2 linked regions of the Elephas maximus indicus genome follow. The protein of the gene in region 1 interacts with the protein of each later gene in a pairwise test. Links are inferred from orthologs where the notes say so. Each region holds a gene or a part of one and is shown on either strand. Other genes may lie near its edges. The genes, in order: AHCYL1 and SLC23A1.

Region 1 (7,839 bases):
GTTAAGTGCTCAGCTGTTAACCAAAAGGTCAGAGGTTCAAACCCCCCAGCCGCTGCTCGGGAGAAAGATGTGGCAGTCTGCTTCCATAAAGATTTACTGCCTTGGAAACCCTATGGGGCAGTTCTACTCTGTCCTATAGGGTCACTGTGTGTCAGAATCAACTCCATGGCAATGGGTTTATTGTCACCCAAAGGTCCCTAGGTAGTACAAGTGGTTTGCGATCAGCTGCTAACCTAAAGGTTGGCGGTTCCAACCCACTCAGCAGCGTAGAAGGAGAGAAAGAGCTGCTTCCGTAAAGATGACAGCCAAGAAAGCCCTATGGAGCAGTTCTACTCTGTACAGATGGGGTCGCCATGAGTCGGAATCGCCTCAACAGCTGCTAACAACAACATCACCCAGGATCTCCAGTAATTTTCCCCCACTAGACTCCTCCTTCAAAAAGAAAAAAAAAAAAATTTTTTTTAGACTCCTCCTTCTCCTGTGCTTATGATCATATTTATCATTATTTTGAATGTAGTCTACACAGGGGGAAAAAAAAAACCTGTGAGAATAAAAATCTCTTTAAGGCTTCTAATTTCACTTGATTCTTTTCAATTTGCAGAAGCTCATTTTTACATACCTGCCATCAGTGTGTACCTGCCATTTTCCGTTCTGCTTTGATTGAATTACAATATTTCAAAAACCTATTACCACATTCCCAAGTGCCAAAGTAGAGCCTGACCTGCAGGAGGTGGAAAGCCTACAGGGAGTACCCAGCCTTTGTCTGGTGGGGTGCCAGGCTGGGTGTGAAAGGTGCCAACCAAGGCTCCCCTGGGTCTCGGGGACAGTGTGTTCTGCAGATGTATCCAGCTCAACATCTAAAGCTGAGCTCTCATCTCGGCGGCCCTTCCACCCAGACCTGCATCTCCTCCCATGTTCCCAGTGGCTGTGCACCACCACCCACGCATGGGCCACCAAGCCCTGCATGCTCTGGCTCCAGCTTCATATCTCCCTCGCCCAACTTTGTACCCTATGTTCCACCTGTGCAGAGATATTTCAGCTGCCCTGCCTTTTCTCATGCAGTTCCTTCAGCCTAGAATCCCTCCCTGCCTTGTCCAGAGGCAGCTCCAGCAGCATCTCCCTCTAAGACGCCTTCCCCAATCACCCCCTATTCCCGTCCCCAGGTAGAAATCAGGGACCTCATCTGTCTCTGTAGTCCCAAAATCTAGCGCCACTCCTGAACTTCTTCAGCACTCAATATATATTTTATGAATAAAAAAAAAATGTGTTAATGTGGAGGGTAAATTTTGGGACAGACAGAAGAGTGAATTTGGCTAACCAGAACAAGCCCATGTGTGGTACCCTAGGGCCACTACATTTCTGGCGACAGCATCTCCTACTTCACCTCCACACTCACCCCAGTTCCTTCTAGAACACGGTCCCCTCTGGTCTCCAGGCCCTTTGGAGACTTCCCCTCACCACACACAACACATGCACCTGTCATTGGGTCCCTGCTCTTCTTAAACCTGGTCTCTGGACATTTCTCTCATCTGTGTTTGGATTGTGCTGTTCAGAGCGGTGGGCACTGAGTCAGGTGGTGGGTGGTGGCAGACAAATCATTCCTGGGCACCCATGAGAGGCAACCCCATTAGCTGGGCCGGGTAGGGCCATCTTAGGAATGTGTGGCAACATGCAATGGTTCTCAACGACGTTAGGTTGCCACGCTCCCTGACTGGGTGAGCTCTTTGATCTCCAGTGCACACACGGTGCAGGGTGGCAATCACCTATGCCCTCTGAAGTGGGAATGCCCCTAGACCTTGACCTGACATGAACTACAAAGGCCCACTGCCTTTCTACCAGAGCAGGGAGTGCCGCCCCTCCCATCTTCCAGCCTAAGCACCCCCAGCTCCCCTTAGTCGGTCTCACTAAGCCTCTACTTGGGCCAGGCATTCAGGTAAGGGGAGTCTGACCTGCTGGTCTCCTTCCTGGCCCAAACTGCTAAGGCACTGCCTCCTCTAGTCCTGGCCATGTCTTCACCATGCTGCAGCAGCAGCCAACTCTATGAGCCTGGTGTGAGGGCAAGCCTGTGAATTTGGTCCAGGAGGAGGCAAAGAGAGGCTGAACTTCAGTCTCCAGGAATCTCACAGTCTGAAAGCTAGAAGGCACAGCAGGAGACTGAGAGGCAAAGCACTTGGATGATGAGATTTTTAAAAATCAAATCCAAAAGCCAGACACGTCTCTTCCTTTTTTTTTTTTTAATAAACTACCCTAAGCCTCCTGGTTTTCTATCCAAGGTTCTAACTGGCTCTGCCTCTGTTCTTCGAGCAGGTAGCTCTGATCCTGAGGCTCTGACAACAGTTTGGGCAAACCCACAGGACGGAAGTGACCGTGGGTCTTATGTTCAGAGGGTGCTGGGTGGGCCGGTTGTAGTGTCTGGCTCCAGCTGGGAGATGAAGAGAAAGGTGGCACTCTGAACCCTTATGGATGAATCTGGTGCTCTGGTCCCCCATCTCTCTGCCCCTTCTGCTACAGGGATGTAGCAGGGAGAGGGAGGTCTGGGTGCTCCGAAGAGTGGGCAGATGAGAGAATCCCAACAGCCCAAGACCAGGTCTGCAGAAGTGAGCGTCCTTCTAGGCACTTGCATAGCCTGCTTCAAGCAGACAGCCTCAAGAGGCTGGGTGTTTGGAATGTATACTTCTCCAACTAAGACTCCCGGGACCCCCAGAAGTATTTCAACCTCTCCCCAACCTTGAACACATGCAAGTGAGGAAAACATCATTTCAAACCACAACTTTGTTCTCAAAAGTGTTGGCCCTGTTAAAGACTTAATGGGTTTCTGGATTTTAAAAGGTGGGCTTGTAGAGGAATTTAGGAAAAAGGCCCTGGGAAGGCTTGAATTGTTCAGCATTGTAGAGAGGAATCTGGCTTCCCAGAATCAGTCAAGAAGGGAGGGGTGGGAGGGGAGTAACAAGAGGGAGTTAGATTAGACGGCAGTGGGCTAAGGGGTATGGCCAGTGAGAAATCCCAAGTGGTGAGACAGCCAAAATAACTTCTCAGAACATTTCAGAAATGTGATTTTAAATTGTTTGCTGTGTGATGTAACCTCTCCCCTGTGACCCACAAGCCTTCATTAAAAGTTCTGCTACATGTTACAGCCTTACTTTTGTAGTTGCTTTGGGGTTGGGGATGGAGGTTGAAAGAGAAGGGGCTGTGTTTCATATTTGGAACACAGGAGCTAAAGAAACAGTTGCAAGACCGGAGCAGGGAGTAAAACTGGGGCCAGAAGTGACCATGAACATGTAAGCCCACTCAGTAATTCACAGAAATCCTGGCAAGGGCATTGGACTTTCCACAGGACATGGGAATTCCAGCCAATGTCATTTCAATCTCAAGGGACAAGCTACCTCAGCTGACATTTAGGTTCCATACAGGTTCTGCCTCTCCAGCTGGACTTGCTGGCTGCTGTGGAGTTGATTCTAACTCATAGCGAGCCCAGGTGACAGAGTGGAACTGCCCCATAGGCTTCTCTTGGCTGTAACCCTTACAGAAGCAGACTGCCATATCTTTCTCCTCCGGAGCTGCTGGGTGGGTTTGAACTGCCAACCTTTCGATGAGCAGCTGAGCATTTAACTGTGGCACCACCAGGGCTCCTTCCAGCTGGACTAAGCCCTTGCAAAACATAAAATGTGTCACGCATGCCTTTGCCATCCAAGGTCTTAGCGCAGGGGCTGCACACAGTAAGCAAAAAAACAGTAGTGCCCAGTAAAAGTGTGTGAATGGCCCATGAGTGCCCTGGGTGCCCAGTGGGAGTCGGCAGAGCCTAATGCTTGGGTGGAGGATGGAGCAGGAAAGCTTTCAGGCTGGGGACTTCTCCCGCCTTACTACTGCTTTCCACCCTCTGACCCAGCATGGCTATGCGGCCTGAAGGTCTTGTAAACAGACAAGGCCCAGGCAGAGGCGGTGTCAGTGCAGGTCACAAAGGGTTGTGCAGAAACCAGATAGCTCTGATTTTGTTCTGTCCACCCCTGTAGGGTGAGAAGAGGCAAACATGGCCTCTTAGGAGGGGGCAGCTGGTCCAAAGGGCCTGGGGCAGAGGCAGTGAGTGAGTGAGTTGTCCGTGGCCCCGGAACATTCCTAGGAACGGCTGTAGGATATGACCTGTAGGGTTCTGGTCTTTGCTCCCAGCATACCCCTTACGCCCTCTGAGATCTCGCCTCGCCCGGAACACCGCAGTCCAAAAAAAAAAAACCGTTACCGTTCAGTCGACTCCAACTCAAAGAGACCCTACAGGACAGAGTAGAACTACCCCACAGGGTTTCCCAAGAGCGGCTGGTTAGCTGACCTTTTGCGTAGCGGCGGAGCTCTTAACCACTGCCCTACCGGGGCTCCCCCCTACAGCCCAAATACCCTCAAGCCTCTGGCATCCAAGCAAGAACCCTGAGCCGCTCACAGGGCTGATGGCGCCACCTGGCGGCACAAAGGGTCCGGCTCACCCTGGGACGGAGTTTTACCATCAGCTAGAGAAAGAGGAGGTGGCTTCTGGGGCCCAGCCCGGTCCAGCGTGATGACGTCACGACAGAGCCCACTTCTCCCCGCCTCTTCCCCCTCCCAGGAGTTGCCAATACTTAACGTGGCGTCCCGCCCTCTGCCCTTACTTTGCGTGCGTGTTTGCGTGCGGCGGAGGTGGCGGCGCTGGCCGGTGGGAGCTCCGCGCTGCTGCTTCTGGTGCTCCTAGCGCGGCCGTCCGTGTCCCGCTGTGTTGAACTGCCAAGCTGACGAGGCGTCGGCCGCAGCCCCTTAGAAGCGAACGCAGCCCGAGTTGGGGCCGGGCGGGAGGGCGGGCAAGCGCGTGTCGGAGGGCGCGGAGCGAGCAGGCGGGCGGACGCCCGTGAGGGAAGGAGGCGGGGGCGGCGGGTAAGCCGCGGGCCAGGCCGGCCGGGGGATGTCGATGCCTGACGCGATGCCGCTGCCCGGGGTCGGGGAGGAGCTGAAGCAGGCCAAGGAGATCGAGGACGCGGAGAAGTACTCCTTCCTGGCCACCGTCACCAAGGCGCCCAAGAAGGTGCGGGGGCTGTGGGTGGCGGCGGGGGCCCGCCGGGCCTCGCGGAAGGGGCGCGAGCGAGCCCCGGGTCCCGGCTTCGGCTAGTTCGGGACTTCAGGGGCGAGGGTTTGGGATGATTGGGGACAGCAGAGGTGGTGTGGGGTGGCGGGTGAACGGCCCCAGGCCCATCCCGAGCTGGAAAGGCCGTCCGTGACCTCGCTTTCCTTTGTCCCTCGGCCCTAGCCCTCTAGGATCTTTCTTAAACCCGACAGGGCCGGGCCTTAAATTTCCCACTGAGTTTTCCTGGATGAAGGGCCTCGAGGACGGGAGTGAGGGGGTGAACAAACTCAGCCGGCCCCTACGACCAGCCGCGGGGGCGGCGGGGGGTGGGTTGTGCAGAGAAGCTCCCCTCAGGTGAGTGAATGAATCCGGCAGAGCTTTTTCGGGCAAGTCTTTGGGAACAGTGGTCGTTTTATCCAGCAACTGCGTGATAGCTTGGAGGCAAGAGAAAAGAATGCGTGGACCCAGCGGTTTTATTTAGGTGAAGGCAATGAATGCACCGTGAGATTGAAAAGAAAACTATGATTTTCACCTTCTACGGTCTTCCTGTTGCTTTGACATCTCTAAGGAATTAACGTTTGGAGGTTGGTGACAGCAGACACTGTCATGGATACAGGTTGATCGAGAGTCGTGTGAATAGATCACTTAGACATCCCTTGAGAAAGGAGCTTGGGTGGGTTGGCAGGGTGGGCGGTAGGGAATGATTGCTCATTCTTTACTGCTCTTATTGAGGCAGAACAAGTTTAGTCTGTTGTGCTGTGGGTTGAACTCAAAGGACACCCTTCTGATCCTCTTGTTGTGGAAGATTAAATGGAACTCTTTGGAGGTTTTAGTCCAAACACTTCTCCAGGTGGTGGAATTGGGGTCCCTAGTGCTTCCTGATCATTTACTGCCAACCACATCTTGACTTTCTACATACCTGGCACCCAGTTAACAGTAGACCAGAGAATCTTTGCAACAAAAAGGTGACCTTTCTGAAACCAGTGAGAACCCGGATAATTTCTCTCCTATATAAAGACAGAGTCTGTCAAAGCTACCTCTGCCTGCAGCGTTTGATGGGATGCAGTGCTTGTATAAGCTGAACAGAGGCTTGCAGGAGTTGTTACAGTCCTTGAGGCTCCTACACCTGAACTGGCTAAGCTATCTTAAGTGGGAGAGATGACATTTAAAATGAAAGAATTTAACGCACCATTGCAGATACCAAATGCCACATTGAAAAGACATTGTGTGTGTGCTGTCTCCTCCCCTCCCCCCCCAAAAAAATTGAGATCTTACCAACGAAATGCCTAAAAGAGATTAAGGACCATCCCTTGGTTCTAAGGAGTCTTGATTAACTGTATTTTTACTGCTCTTTGGTTCAGCTGGCTGCAGGGGGCTGTAACTCTTTGTATTCTGCACAGTTCTTTGGAGAAACAGTCACTGCACTTAGAGGCTGAATGGTTATAGGTATTATCTCGGGGAATTAGAAGGAAGAATGGGAAAGCCCTGATACCCTAATTCCCTGGACTCTTACTCTCCCCATTAGCCCATCTTTTGTCTAGTTGCTTCAGGGTATTAAGTGTCTTTATTCTTATTTGTGAATGCCACCGTGATAAGACAAAGTTTGTATTATAGTTTGTAAACTTTCATAAAGGCAGGGCCTCTTTATGCCTAGCTCTGTACCTAGATACTGTACTCAAATATTAATTGCCCACCTGGCTAACAAGTAACTGAGATGTCAGGATGGCTGCCTCCCAGAAATAAATATCCTTTTTCTCTCCTCTTCCCAGGAGGAATGTTGTTAATGTGTATTATTGTAAGGCCAAGAGCTAATGATTTTCGAGACTTGTATTCCATCAGCTGAAAGAAGCAGTCCCGGCCAGGGATGTGGGAATGCCCTGTTGTTAGTTTCCATTTGCTGGTAAATGTGCCCCCGTGTTTCTTATTAACCTTGCTCTTTCTGAGCTTTATTGCTTAGCATTTACGCAGCACTTGTATTAAAGTGCTTTATGATGACTAATTACTCTTCCCCTAGTGATGATAAAAGGCATTTATTTAGTTAATGGGTCACTTGAGGACTAGTTCAAGGTCACATATCAGGTCCTAGGTAATCCATATTTCAGAACTTCAACCTAGTTGGACATTATGACTTAAGTCACTTCTGTACCTCTGCCACGTGCCGATAACATGAGAAAGCATGGAAAAATAAGAGGAAAAAGGTAGTTTGGCATGGTACTGAATGGTATGAGAAAAAGACCTCCTGAAATGGTGCCAGTCCTTCACCTTTCACCTGTGAGGATTCCAACCTGGCTCTAGACCAAGAAATCCTTGAATCATCCAAGCCTGGAGGCCCCAGGGAAATGAGGGCATTTCTGGTGCCAGTCAAAGAATATAGGTTATTTCAGGGTGACCTCGATGGTCCTGCATCAGATTCCAGGGTAGCTTCCTGGTGAGCTTTTACTCACTTTGTTTGCTTTGCTTGGAGTTGAGTGGATGTCCACCCGTTCAAAGCAGAGGTATCTGGATTCTTCAGCTATAATAATGACTTAGTTTTGTGTGGCCCTGGGGTCTAGCACAGTGCTATGTAAATAATAGGGCTTGTTGGATTTCACAGTTTGATCTGGGTGTCAAGAAGCCAACTAAATGAGTATCTCGTTTAGCAAATGAATTTAGCATCTGCGCTTCAGTTTTCTCATCTTTCAGATAAGTACTTGTTAAGAATAGGTGGAGATAGAGGCATGTTGGAAACTAAGATAGCAAGAGGGCTTTTTAAAAAGTCT
Region 2 (7,223 bases), on another chromosome or scaffold:
GGGGCTTAGGGTAGGACCCTGCTGCCTGGCTCTAAGGCTGACCTGGGGGTAAGGAACAGCAGATGGGGGTGGGTGGCAGCTTTTTTTGTCCCATCAGAGTACTCTGAGAGAAGTAGCCTCCTCCTGCTGTGTGGATTGCTGGAGGAGAGTGGCGGAGGCGGGGCAGCTCACCGGATGCCCAGTGTGGTCTGGATGAGGGTGGTGATACCCACGCATGTGAAGATGGTGCCGATGAGCTGGCTAACCATATGCTGGTCACGGCCCACACACAGCGCCTCAGCCAGGAGGAAGGGCACAGCGATGGTGCCACTGAAGCATGTCAGATAATGCTGGGGGGCAGGGGGAGTGCATGAGCCAAGGATTACAGAGTTCAGGGGAAACAGGGGTACCCTAATAGTCCTCACCTGCCTCAGTGGTCTACCCAGGACTGACGATCCCCATGAGGGATTCCCAGAGAGCTACCACTCAACTCTCTGGGGGTCACTAATCTCCTCGAGTTATCCCCACAGCTTCTGTGGAGCCAGCACTCTTCCCTGCCACTGACACTCCAACTGGCGGGGGATGAATGCTTCTAGAGGGTTAATCCTCTCTTAGGCCTCTTCCCTACCTCTACTTGGTGACAGCCACTGTGTTGACCTTAGTTTTCTCTTCCTGTTACCCAAGATAACTCCGTTGGCCAGGGAGAGGGCTGGGATCAGAGAGAGCCCAAAGTGAGGGGTGGAAAGACCCTGGGGGGAAGCCCACCTGGAAGCCCAGCAGGATGCACAGGTACCAAGGTGGCACATCCTCGATCTTGTACAACATGTCAAACTTGGACTCTGTGGGCAGGGACATCTGGGGGTCCCTGGTGGCTGCTGAGTCCAGGGATTCATGCTGAGGGCAGCAGAGAGAAGTAGTTCAGGTGGAGTAATGGGGGACAGGCAAAATCCAACCTGCTTCAGAAACAATCAGCCTGAGTGGCCTGTCAGCTCCTCAGAGTGGGGATCCGAGCCTGGAGCCCCACACCCTCCCACACAAGTCCATCCACCCAGCTGTCACTCAACCCGGCCACACTTGGCTTCTACTTCACGCTGCTTTATGCATGGATGAGTGTGCTATGGCTGGCTCCTGGAGCAGTTGGGACCCGGACATTCTAGCCAGGGGAATGGGTGCCTAAGTCAAGTGGCCTGGGGGCGAGGAGGAGAGGGAGCCAAGTGGCTTTAAGACTGTAAACAGGCTCTCCCTGGACCCAACTTGGGTCCTCTACTCCCTAGAGGTCCTTGGGGTATTACTGAGAACCCCTACTGGTCCCTACCCCAGCCCCCAACTCCCACATTCAGCCTGGGGCAGTCACTCTTGATCAAGTTCGTCAGAACCTTTTTCTCTGCCCTCCGGCCCCCACCTCACCGCCCAGGTCCTACCCATCCCCCAGCACCTGTGTCTGGCCCTCAGGGTCCTCCTGGACTCTCATCTTTCGGGCACTGTTGTGAGCAGTTCCTGAGAAAAGGAAAGGACTTTACGAAGGAGGACTTTACACATCAGACATTGTTCGAAGTAGTAAATCTGTAACCAGAGCCCCAGCACTGGATTGCGAAAGTAGAACCCAGGTGGAGGTAATGTATTAACTCTGGCCATAGTGGTAAAGGCCGCCAAGCCTCTGCCATACTTCCCTCCTGAGCGCTCCCTTCCCCACCAGCACCTGAGCCTGGGCATGGGACCTGTTCTTGTTTGCCAAGAGGTGGCTGGAGAGGCGGGTGGGTGGGCAGTGGGGAGTCTTGGAAGTTTACCAAGAACTGGGTGAGGTTTGAGGAAAGGGAGGGAGAAAGGGCATTTAGCATGTGCCACACCCTGTATGAGGCCCTTCCCCACTTATTAATGACAAGTTAATCATTATCATCATCATCATAACCACTCTTGTTACTGAGGAATGGCTACATGCCGAGCAAAGTATATGTACTGTCATGTTTAACCCCATGGTGTTGGATGGAATTATCCTCTTTTACAGTTGAGAAAACAGATTCAGAAAGAGGTGAGTTGACAAACATCACCCAGGTAGCAAAGTTCTAAAAAAAAAAAAAATTCCTAAAATTCACATTGGTCTGAACTCCAGAGCCTATGGTATAAATCATCACATTATGTGTGATAAAGTCCTGCCCTCCCCACACCCCACCACTTAGGGTCCCTGAGGCACATAACATAGAGGAGCCTCTGAAGAAAGAGCTGCCCAGGCAGACCTGGCCTGCCCTGTCCCTGTGTCAGGGCCCAGATTCCTTTTCCCTCCCATGCCAGGACCAGCTACATAATTTGTGGAGCCCAGTACAAAATGAAAATGTTGGGCTCCTTGTTCAAAAATTATGAAGAATTTTAAGATGACAACAGCAGAGTATCAAATGGAGCATGGGGGCTTTCTAAGTGCAGGGTACACATCAAAAGCCCATGCAGCCAGCCCTACTCCTGGCCTGTACCCTCCTGGCAGGCCCAGCCCAGCCTGGCCTTGGGGTCTGAGGGCTGGCTGAAGGGTAGCTGGGGAGGAACCCAGAGTCTCAAAGCTCCTCAGCTGGTGGGTGCTGGGCCTAGGGTCCCAGATTCTACTACCTTCTGTGCTGCCCCACCCCCAGCCCCCCAGGGCCCACCTACTTCTGGGTCTCTGTGTCCACAGCCAGGCCCTGCCCCGAGGACCTGTGGGCAGCATTGCTCTCCAGCTGGGCAGCAGCTTCATGACACAGCCTGTGTGCCGGTCTGGCCTCCAGCCCTTTCGTCTGTCGGTCTATCCTCTTCTCTCCCTTCTTGGCTTCTAATTCCAGGTTCCCAAAGTTGTCTGACCAGTTCAGAGCTTGGAGGCACGCTCCTCAGAACTTTTCTCCCCACCCTCTCCTCCCAATGCTCCCCAGGGGGCTGTGGAGACAGAGCCCAACCCTTTACAGCCCCATGACACACAATTCAACCAAAGCCACACAACACACAGACAGGACGGGAAGTTGCTCATGGTCCCAGGTACATGGACGTGCAAATAGACGTAGAGACTCTGTTGCAAAGAATGTCTCCGAATCAATCTATATAAACACAAGATCACACAGGTCCACGTCACAGGTGCCCAACTCCACACCCCATACACTGACGGCTCATCCGGTTCCTTGGCCCTGGCCCTCCTCCTGGTGCTTAGGGGTTCTCTCTAGGTTGAGGGCCAGGGAAGAAGGAGCCTCAGGCAAATCCTGGAACAGGTGAAGGAATGTGGAGGTTGGGACAGCAATTCAGCCCCAGGGAAGCTGGAGTGGTCCTGGCTTGCATGGGGTATTCCTGTTCCTCCAGTAGCTGACCTCCCCACACCCCCCCCACCCCCACCCTGCCACTACCCAGTCTGGGACTTAGCCTGAGCTCTTGTGGTGTCTAAGCCCTGGTTTCTGTGTCCGTCAAATGGGGATTAGAGTCTCTGTTCTGGTCACCTCCCAGGGCTCCGGTAGGAACAGAAACGCTCACAAATGAAACTGAAAATTGTCACCCCACTTGACCCCAGGTTCCCAGATTCAGGTGCAGGACCAGGGCTCACCCCAAGTTCACAGATCCAGGTAAGGGATCACGGGTCTGTTCTCAAGGAAAGGGCCCCAGACCAGAGGAGGTACTGAGGAGAGCTGGACTTGGAGCCAAGATGTTGAATCCAGCTAGTCCTAGGAAGCCCACCCCGCCCTGTCCCAGGCAGGGACTCAATCATGCCACTGGGGTCAGAGGCAGCAGAGTCTTGAAAGTGATCAGTCCCTGGCCATTGCCCCGTGAGCCTTCTGGGCACAGAGCATGGAGTGGCCACAGTAGGTGTGTCCACAAAGTGGCCTGCCTGTATAGATTCCCTTGGTTGGTCTTTTCTGTGATGATAGAGCTGAAGACCTGGGGTTACGCTGTGCATGTAACTGGGTCCCTGTGCCTTTATTGCTGCCCATTCCCTACCATGGTAGAGCTCTCTCACCTCTGGGAAGTCGTAGGCGTATATTTGGCCCTTTCCAGGAGGAGCATTAGCAGAAACACCTATGTCTGCCCTCTCAGCCCTCCAAGCACCCTTTGCTGAGAGAAGGAGTCAAGGTCACTGGGTTTTATTGGAATCCAGAGGAGAAGACCTTGGCCCCCACCCAGACCCCAGTGCCTCAAGGCTGGAGGAGGGAGAGACAGTGGCAGTGCAAGGCAAGGCCTCCCTGCCCTCAGGACCAGCCTGCAGAAGGGAATGGGGATGATTACAGAGGAAAGCCCCAGCTTCTAGGGCTGATACTGGGAAGCAGGAGTCAGACTAGAGCTCTTCCCTTGTGATGGATGCCTCCTCCAAGCAGGCCCCCCGGGAACCCCCACACAGCAACGCCTCCAGAGCCGCATGGCCTTGGTGGTGGGCTTCATAGATCTGGTCTTCTCCAAACTCCCCCAGGTAGTGCAGACACGTCTTGGAGAGCCTAGGGGAGCCCAACAGGAGCTCAGACTCTGCCCACCCCACAGAGGCAGACCGGGGCTCCATCCCATTTCCCTCCCACTGTCATCACCTGATGGGCCAGGGGCCCCCTGTGACCATCACGCTGATGCTTGGCTCTGGCCCCTTGCTGAGCCCTGGGCCTGTGAGGCGTTTCACCTGGTTCACCTCTCGGACCCCGTAGCTGGTGACAGTGGGGAGCAGAAGGATGCAGCGTTACTGGGAGCCTGGTCAGGGAGGGGCCTATCTCCACATGAAGCTGGGGATACTCGACGGCATTGTCAGCATTTGCTAAGTTCAGTGCCCAGAGCTGATCCTCCCTGGTGGAACACTGTGGCCCAGAGAGGGAAATCCCTGGCCACAACAAGCCAGTGAGTCCATGTTTCCTCCAATGGCCACTTCACTGGTCCACCTGCTCCCAGTTCCAGAGTCCAGGCTTCACCCTAGCTAGCCCCAAACTCTATCCAGAGCCCTTGTGGAGTGTGTGTGGTATGAGTTGGAGAGTGGGGATCTCTACCCACCAGCCTTGACCCTGGAGGTGAGGGGAAAGGGCTGGATTGACAACTCACCCCTGCCAGCTCTGGGAGCAGCTTCGATCCAGGACATCTGTATACACTGACTCACTCAGCTCTCGCCGCCTCCCAGACTCTGGGGTATGAAGCTTGGCCTCGGCCTCTGCCAGATGTTGCCACATCTGGAACAAGGAGGGGCTGTGAGCCAGGGCTTTGGGACTGCAGAGTAGGGGGAGGAGACTGCATCCAGGGGTGAGATCTCAGGAGAGTCTGAGGTGGCAACGGAGCAGTTTGGGCAGGAAGCACCTGTGAGGCGGGCTACACGGCCCCTCCCTGAGTCCCCACAACCTGGGCCCGGGGCCAGCCCAGGCAGGATCCACTCCTTAGGATGGTGGCGGAGTAGGAAACTCTCAAGTGAAACCTGAGGCCTGGGCACAGGGTCCCCTGTGCCTACTCCCAGCACATCTGCCCTGAAACCACTGCCCATTAGTACATGCTATTTTAAACCATGCATCAAGGTGGGGAAAAAAGTAGAGTTCAGTCTTCAGTGCCATGCGTACTCACGGTCCCATGTGCATGCACACATACAGACACAGAGGCACAGGTATGCTCAACAGGCGTATACGTGACCTCAGACATGTACTCATATATGCATGCATTAACACATGTGCAGAGATACAAAGGCACCCCAGTCATGTTTGGGACGGAGTTCAGATGTAAAGAGAGACCTTGTCATGGATTGGATTGTATCCTCCAAAAATGTGTGTCAGCTTGGCTAGGCCATCATTCCCATTATTGTGTGGTTGTCCTCCATTTTGTGATCTGATGTAATTACCTATGTGTTGTAAATCCTAGCCTCTATGATGTTAATGAGGCAGGGTTAGAGGCAGTTACATTAATGAGGCAGGACAGAATTTACAGGATTAAGTTGTTTCTTGAGTCAATCTCTTTTGAGATATGAAAGAGAGAAGTTAGCAGAGAGGAACGGGACTTCCTATCCCCAGGAAAGAAGAGCCAGGAGCAAGGGTGTCCTTTGGACCCAGGGTCCCTCTATTGACAAACTCCTAGACCCAGCAGAAGATTGACAACAAGGACCTTCCCCAGAGCTGACAAAGAGAGAAAGCCTTCACCTGTAGCTGGTGCCCTGAATTTAGCCTCCTAAACTGTGAGAGAATAAATTTGTTTGTTAAAGCATCCACTCGTGGTATTTCTGTTACAGCAGCACTAGATAACTAAGACTGACCTGGAAAGGGAGGGGTCTGATAGGACAAGAGAGTCATTCCCTGGGATATCAAAACAATTTGAGGCATTCCAGAATGTTATTTTCTGCTGAGCAGGCAGATGGGTAAATTGAGGCATGGGGGGGTTAGATGAAGTGAGGATGCTAATATCCTGGAAGGCTGAGTCTGGGGCTTACTGCCTAGGGCTGAGAGTGGGGGACTCAAAGGTCAGTGGTGGAATCTGAGGTAGATGGAAGGGTCTGGCTTGAGGAGGGGGCTTGGCAGGGGCAGGGGGAGTGTTCAGGGGCTTACCTGGTAGGCCACGGCCCTGCAGGCATCACAACGCAGGTGAGTAGGCATATGAACCGAGTATATCTCTTCATCGTCCAACTGTGGGGCAGTGGCCGTGAGCGGAGCTCTGTCCCCAAGGCCCCCTGGGATCGCCCAGGCCCCCAGCAGTGGCAGTAGTAGTGGTAGTGACAGCCTCATGGCCCCTGGAGCCAGCTCAGCAAGCATGGGATGTGTTGGCATGCAAGTGTGCATATGCATGTGTGTGGGGGGACTGCCACGGATGCCTGGCCCAGCCCAATGAGGAACTGACACCTCACCCCTCCCATTTTCTCCCTTCCCCCAGGGCCCTGAAGATGCCACGTGTGCACCTTCTCTGGCTGGCGGGACTGCCTGGCTCCAGTCATCTCAGATCCATTTTGCAGATAGGGAACCATGAGGCCAGGGCAAGAACATGTGGGAACAAGTACCTCCCACATCCTGGGGTCTGCCCATGTGCCACACGCTGTGCTGAGCACTTTGTGGGAGGAGGTGGTTACTGTCATCTTTATTCTACTGCTGAGGACTCTGAGGCTCAGGGAGAAATGACAACTACAAGGCCTCCCAGTTAGAGGGGCAGAGCCAAAGTTGGAACTCAGGCCTGATTGATCGCAAAGCCTATCAGCTGCTCAGCTACCAGGAGGAAAGAGGCCCCAGGTGTGATTGACAGCCTAGGGCTCCCTCCCTGGGAGGCACGTCAAGCTCACTAAGAGTGGGATGCCACCATATGTGAAAGACACA

Evidence for each region.
Region 2: the proteins of AHCYL1 (region 1) and SLC23A1 interact in binary tests that used the Homo sapiens proteins (3 or more experiments, as listed by UniProt). The two-hybrid records come from large-scale screens. The link is inferred for Elephas maximus indicus from reciprocal best matches to the Homo sapiens genes AHCYL1 and SLC23A1.

What each region holds. Positions count from the first base shown.
Region 1 is NC_064821.1:171,380,742-171,388,580, reverse strand, and holds the start of AHCYL1 (S-adenosylhomocysteine hydrolase-like protein 1), read left to right. Parts: upstream 1-4,829; 5' UTR 4,830-4,921; coding exon 4,922-5,041; intron 5,042-7,839. UniProt on the Homo sapiens protein: Multifaceted cellular regulator which coordinates several essential cellular functions including regulation of epithelial HCO3(-) and fluid secretion, mRNA processing and DNA replication.
Region 2 is NC_064820.1:152,516,022-152,523,244, forward strand, and holds the start of SLC23A1 (solute carrier family 23 member 1), read right to left. Parts: upstream 3,185-7,223; 5' UTR 2,699-3,184; coding exon 2,617-2,698; intron 1,477-2,616; coding exon 1,415-1,476; intron 874-1,414; coding exon 745-873; intron 330-744; coding exon 172-329; intron 1-171. Other genes in the region: MZB1 (marginal zone B- and B1-cell-specific protein), read right to left, coding at 4,253-4,409, 4,497-4,607, 4,993-5,117, 6,468-6,704.